2 linked regions of the Ovis aries genome follow. The protein of the gene in region 1 interacts with the protein of each later gene in a biochemical or structural test. Links are inferred from orthologs where the notes say so. Each region holds a gene or a part of one and is shown on either strand. Other genes may lie near its edges.

The links.
Region 2: the proteins of CLTC (region 1) and TOM1L1 form a complex in vitro, tested with the Homo sapiens proteins (2 studies listed by BioGRID and IntAct). The link is inferred for Ovis aries from reciprocal best matches to the Homo sapiens genes CLTC and TOM1L1.

What each region holds. Positions count from the first base shown.
Region 1 is NC_056064.1:10,335,689-10,339,206, forward strand, and holds part of CLTC (clathrin heavy chain 1), read left to right. Parts: intron 1-1,438; coding exon 1,439-1,561; intron 1,562-2,604; coding exon 2,605-2,750; intron 2,751-2,977; coding exon 2,978-3,161; intron 3,162-3,354; coding exon 3,355-3,518. UniProt on the Homo sapiens protein: Clathrin is the major protein of the polyhedral coat of coated pits and vesicles. Two different adapter protein complexes link the clathrin lattice either to the plasma membrane or to the trans-Golgi network.
Region 2 is NC_056064.1:4,891,392-4,894,909, forward strand, and holds part of TOM1L1 (TOM1-like protein 1), read left to right. Parts: intron 1-834; coding exon 835-984; intron 985-1,719; coding exon 1,720-1,845; intron 1,846-2,833; coding exon 2,834-2,926; intron 2,927-3,518. UniProt on the Homo sapiens protein: Probable adapter protein involved in signaling pathways. Interacts with the SH2 and SH3 domains of various signaling proteins when it is phosphorylated. May promote FYN activation, possibly by disrupting intramolecular SH3-dependent interactions.

The DNA of each region.
Region 1 (3,518 bases):
TTTCTCTTTTTTTATTGAAGGTAACATAACATTAGCCATTTGAAAGTGAGTAATTCAGTGGCAGTTAGTACACATACAGTGTTGTGTAACCATTATATCTCTCTTGTTCGGAGTTCTTATTCCAAGTGTTCATCACCACACGAGGAAATCCAGTACTCACTAAGCAGTTGTCCCACATTCCCTACCTCCTTCCAGCCCCTGACAGCCTCCAAACTGCCTTCTGTCTCTGGATTTACCTATTCTGGATATTTATTAGTGAAAAATCGCTTTAAAAAATAGAATGTTCTTCGCTTTGAATTTCTCTTATTGTTCCTCCTGATTAGATTTAGATTGTATGTTTCCATCCAAAGTGCATTACTTAAGTGATGTTTTTCTTATGCTGTAACATGCAAAAGCACCTTATGTCTTTAGTCCTTCATTTTGAGGGTCACTTTTCATTAACTTGTCAGCTTCTCCATTATAGAAATAAATTTCCCCTTATAGATGTGTTTCCCCTTGGAGGTATTAAGTAGTCTGTGAGGAGACAGTTAAGACCATGTGAGTATCCTATTTGTGTGTGTCCCCGCCCCCAATTTTGAATCTATTAATTCTTACTAAGCTATTCTTTTGTGTTGGTTGCAAAATGACAATTTTCCAACTTCATCATTTTCTCCATATTTATCAGTCAACGTGCATATTTTCATGGACTTACGAGTTCTATGGGTTAATGATGCATGTTTTTGATTTTCAAATTACCTCCCTTTTGGCTGATAGAAATCCCATCAGCCTGCCTCTCATGGCTTTGTGTCATGATCTCATTGCTCTTGAGCACATCTTGTTTCCTTGCCCAGCAAGTTATACCATGCTCATTTTATACCCTCCCCTGCCGTGGATCATTCATTTTTGTGAAGAACTTTTATTTTGTTCAGTGGGGAGTGCTATTAGAAACCCAGATCTAGACTCTACGGTGTATTTCCTTCTAGGGTCTTTGAGTGATCAGAGCTGTATGCATCTGTGAACATACAAATTCATACACGTATGAACATATGTATGCATATACACATGGGAAAATGAACACTGAAAGAAAGCTGTGAAGGTGGACTAGCCTTACCAAATGTTAAAGCACATTACAAAACCTCTATAATTAAAAATTGCATCCTGGTGCATGAATACACAGGCCAGTAGAGTAAAATATAAAGTCCAAATATAGATCTACCATCAGGGTGCTTTTTAAAAGCCTTCAAAAATATAACAACTTTTTTCTGTTGTTTGAATTTTAATAAGAAAAATATTGTTGTGACTTTAAAGATTACATGTAGAAGTAATGGATTTTTTTTTTTTTTTTGGTATAAAACACTAAATAGGGTATAATGATAGGATATAACCTTTTAAAATTACAGTCAGTCTGTGGAAAGGTTTTATTGTTTACCTTGAAATTAATCTTTAATTTCTCATTTAGGTCTGCAATGAGAATTCCCTCTTCAAAAGTCTTTCTCGCTATCTGGTACGGCGGAAGGACCCAGAATTGTGGGGTAGTGTGCTGCTGGAAAGCAATCCTTATAGGAGACCCCTCATTGATCAGGTAAAATTTGCAAATGCATTCAAGGCTCATCTTTTTAACTATAAATAAAACCTTTTCCCTCATCATATACCAAATATACTCAAATGGATCATATTTAACTGTGAGAGATGGCAGTAAAAGACAGAAGAAAATAAAGATGATACTAATATATATATATATATATATATATATATATATATAAATGTTAACAAAAATGAAGTATATCTTCTCCAAGAAAATACGTCCCCAAGGAGAGAATTTAATTACATAAGACTCCCTCAACTCATCATAGCTAAAAGGATACCAGTAAATCAGACATTTAATAAAATTAGTAAGAATTACTGTTAAAAATACCTGAGAAGTAATTAAATTGATTGGAAACATTCAAGACAAGGGTAAATCAGCAAAGAATAAAGACTGGTGAATGATCTAGTAGATAAATGTTAAGTAAGTCTCAATAGTAAGCAAAGAAGATGCGAGTTTATAGCTATATAAATAATTGAAAACATTTTTTAAAACCTTAAAAATTGAAGGTTGTTAATAATGGTTCTTAAATTATAAATAGAAGTATGAATATGGAAGAGAGTAAATTGAAGAGTATCAGTTTTTCATTCCTCTCCTTGGAAGCATGTCTAAGGAAAATTCCCAAATTGATACAAAGCTTCCTAGAGCAAATACTCATTGCTGCATCTGGGAGCCATGCAAATAGCCATAAACAGAAGCATTACTGAGTGTATAATGCCACATGCATATGGTTGGACTTTATGTGACCATTAAAGTGATAATGAAGAGTGGTTATTAGGAATAATTTTTAATCAGGGAAAAGATAGAAATTATACGAGTAGGCACCCCTACCCCCCACAACAAAAAAATTGGAAATACATGTTACAGATATATGTGGATTTATGTAGAAAGATCTTTGGGTGGTAAATTAAAGGTATTTTATCTCATTCCTTCTTCTCGACCTGTTTCATTTTCTACTGAGAGGCCAGCTTATTCTTATTAGATAATATCATCAAAACCACCTGGACTCTCAGTACTTATTCTTTGTATATCCTCTGCAGGTTGTACAGACAGCCTTGTCTGAAACTCAGGACCCTGAGGAAGTGTCAGTAACTGTCAAGGCCTTTATGACTGCAGACCTTCCTAATGAACTCATTGAACTGCTGGAGAAAATTGTCCTTGATAACTCTGTATTCAGTGAACACAGGTATGCTATGAGAGGGTTTCCTGGCTCTTTATACTCAGTCTTTAATTATGGCCTGTCAGTTTGGGAAAGGAACAAAGAGACAGATATTAGAGAATGTTGTCTTAATTTTCACTCTTCTAATACCCTCTTGTGACCCTCTCTCCTGAGATGGAATACTTAATAGCTACAGTGTTTGTTATGACTAATGAGCTTTCCAAATATTACATTCAAATTTTTCTTTCTGAAAGGAACCTGCAAAACCTCCTCATCCTCACTGCAATCAAGGCTGACCGTACCCGTGTTATGGAGTACATTAACCGCCTGGATAATTATGATGCCCCAGATATTGCCAACATCGCCATCAGCAATGAGCTCTTTGAAGAAGCATTTGCCATTTTCCGGAAATTTGATGTCAATACCTCAGCAGTGCAGGTAAACCTTCACATTACCCGAGCTGATTTCCTGTGTAACGCCTTCTCTTGGTTCAGTGTATGCATTGTCCTCTGAGAAAGGGCATAATTTATTGCTGTGGTAATAGAAGAGCAATAAAATCCTAACCGTTTAAATGTAATTGCTACATGGTAAGATTCATTGTTCTATAACTGATGAAGAATTGGTTGCCTAGGTCTTGATCGAACATATTGGAAACTTGGATCGGGCATATGAGTTTGCTGAACGCTGCAATGAACCGGCAGTCTGGAGTCAGCTCGCAAAAGCCCAGTTGCAGAAAGGAATGGTGAAAGAAGCCATTGATTCTTACATCAAAGCAGATGATCCTTCATCCTACAT
Region 2 (3,518 bases), about 5.4 Mb from region 1:
TCAATAACGTCCAGATTCTTTACATTGCCGCACAACTTTCTGCACAGTCTGGATGATGCCCCTCCAGACTTTATCCATTCAGTTCCCCAGGGTCTCCAGTTTGCCGATATAAAGAAGCCTCTACAAACCAGAAAACTTGTTTTCCTTCTCACAGCTCATACAGTTCATCACCTGTACATAAATTTTTTTATGATTTGCCTGTCTAGACTATCGCTTTATATGCATTTATCCTTTTCTTGACCATTTTTCAAAGGCTAGCTTAGGACCACCTTTTTGAACTGATGTACACCCGTGGCAGATTCATGTTGATGTATGGAAGAATTTTTTATTAAATAAAAAAAAACAAAAGTCTCAAACACCTGGCCCTAAATGGTCACGTCTGCCTGTAAAGGTCTGTAGCTGGAGTAACCGTGCAAGTTTTCACCCAGGCAAGGATGTTTTTGGAAGTGAAAGGAGATGATGTCATTAATAAAGCTGGGGCAATAGGAATTCACCAGGACTTTCCTGGAAACACTAGGACAAATGTCAGCTTGCCTAGAGCCAACAGGCTTTGTTTGCACCTCCCACTGGCCCTTGGCATTACCACCTCACATTGTTACCAGTTCTCTTATGATTGTGTCCTGGCTCCCCAACAAGACTGTCTGCTAAGCAGTTACATTATGCCTTAAATTTCCTCACATTCCCAGAACCGAACATTTTGCCATGTATTTTAGTGGATAACCAAATTTTGTTTATTAATTAGAGTGCTGGTGGAAATCATCACTTAGCAATTTTTCTCTTGTACTTTGGAGGTGGTTTTGCCCAAGAGATAAAATGTTTGATTTTTCCCTTCAGCTTATTGACATGTGCGTACAGAACTGTGGTCCGAGTTTCCAGTCTCTGATTGTGAAGAAGGAGTTTGTTAAAGATAGTCTAGTGAAGCTGCTGAATCCCAGATACACATTGCCAATAGACATTCAGAACAGAATCTTGAATTTCATTAAGGTAAGTCTGTTATATACCTTATGGGCTAGTGAATGTCTAAGATTAGAAGCTTAATTTCCTAACTCCCAGTTGGTTCAGTGATCCTTTATAAGCCTGGAACTGAGCTTCAAAGTGTTTTTATTCTGTTTTCCATGTAATAATTTCTTGGCATTGGACACTGGCCTTTTTCTGAAGAATTTATAGTCTTTTCCATATTTGTCTCTCAGTTTCTGTTTTATCTATGTCAGATAGAAGAGATAGTGATGTATACATTTATTTTACAGATGTGGAAACTATCTTCTCGGGTCGATAACTCACTGCCTGCAGTTATTTGGCAAAAGATCTACAGATGGTGTTTTAGAGTCTATTAATTGTATCTAGTCTAGAGTTTCACTAAATTGTTGAGGCCTGGCAGTCTGATAATTAAAAATATTTTACATTATTCTAATCTCTAAAAATGGACATTTTGGACTTTGCTGGTGGTCCAGCACCTTCACAGCCAAGGGCACGGCTTCAGTCCCTGCTTGGGGAGCTAGGATCCCACCTGCTGTTTGACACAGCCAAAAACAAGTAACTGCCACCACCATCCCCCCCCCCCCAAAAAAAAAAACCTGCAAAAAATGTACATTTTGTGTATGGCATTCAAAAGTATGGCATTCTGAGTAAGCTTCATAATTGTCAGTCTCTGATTTTTTGGTCATTGTGTTTTGTTTTGCTGCTCTTTTATCTCTGAAACTTTCCATCTCTTGAATTCAGACATGGTCGCAGGGTTTCCCAGGAGGTGTGGATGTCAGTGAAGTGAAAGACGTGTACCTGGACCTCCTTAAGAAAGGGGTTCAGTTTCCTTCATCAGGTGGAGAGACTGAAACAGCCAGACAAGAGGTAGGAGGCCCTTTTTGACCTGTGTAGAGAAAGACAGTGAAGGGCTTGGGTCTTTCTTCATTGAAAGGAACGACTCTAGCTCCACCCAGCTTAAGCTGAAAGATGAATCTGTGATTTCAGAGAATAACCAGGCCACAAGAAGGCTGGTGTTAGCTGGGTCTTTGTAACAACAGAGAACTGAGATTCAAATGCCTCGTTACTTGTCTGCTCCCCTTTGACAATCAGCTTATTCTGTCCTTGCAGACCAGTTTTCTTCACGTTGTAGACAACACGCGGGGCCTGCTATGCATGTGCCTGCTAAGTCACTTCAGTCTGACTCTGCGCAGGGCTCCCTGGGTGGTGCTAATGGTAGACAACATAGCTCCCACATTTTCATGTTGCAGCCTTAGCTTTTTCAGATTCAAAGCTCAAAATTGCAGAGAAAGGACTCATTGAACCAACATGGGTCAGTTTTCCATTTCTGCACAAGTTAAGTGAGGTTTTGGAAGAATGTGATGGCTTCATATAGAAATCGTTTAGGTAGAGCAGAGTAGGGGCAGTTTTCAAAAGAAAAGATTGGTGCTAGACCGGCAAGGGGCTCTGTTGGTAGTCATGTAATAAATTTGTTTATCAATACTGTGCCCATAGAAGAGTCTCTTCATGTTCACATGTATTCATTCTCAAGTCTGTAAATAACTTCCCAGGTTTTGAACTTACAACACTTTGAGAGACTGATTATAAGTCAACTCTTGGCTTCCTGTAATGTAATGTAGAAACATAATGTAAACACAGTAGTTCTTTCCATAATGTAAAATCAGTAGTTCTTCCCTTCTGTGATTGGTGAGTCCTGTCTTGGTAGAAAAAGCAATTCATGTGTATACCAAAGTCTGACCTTTGTGAAGGCTTTGTCCTGAGGGCTAACTCTCCCTAGTGAGTGAGTCATCTGAATGGAAAAATGGGCTTGCAGTGGCCAAGTTAATTCCAATAATAATATTTCCATGTTTCATAGACGTCACCGAATCCACCACCGTCTGTTCCTTCTGCACCAGCTCTTCCTTCCGTAGCCCCCAAGATCTCCACTATTGCATTGGTCCCAGAACAGGTAACAATAGCAATGATTGTATTTATTGATGACTTTTTCTAAGTTCTAAGCACTTTATATATAGTTCGTTTATTCTTAGCAATGTTATTGTAAGGTGGAGATATCTTTTAGCCTCATTTTACAGAGAAGGGGACTGAACTGTATGTCGATGATGGTTCAGCTCTAAGTGGAATTAATCCCATGAATTCTGCCTGATTCTGAAAGCCTGAGCTTGAACAGTTGGGCTTGTCTAGTGGCTTATGTGGCTTTGTGGAGGCTTGGCTGTATGTGGAGTTTATAAGCAGCTGATCCTGTTGCCCCTGATAAGACTGCCCATATGCCATTTCAGACAGCTCGGTGAATGGTAGTCTTAGAACTGATATTAATTGTGCCAATCGAATTGCATTCATGGCTTTGTCTTTTATCTGTTTATCAAAGGTTTAGACAAGCAGTTATTAAATGAAGCTCATTTCTATCCTGCTATAAAGGAACTATCATTTAAGACTTTGTAGGGACTTCCCTGGCAGTCCAGTGGTTAAGAATCCGCCTTCCAATGCAGGGGACACAGGTTCCACCCCTGCTTGGAGAACTGAGATCACAGCTGCCACAGGGC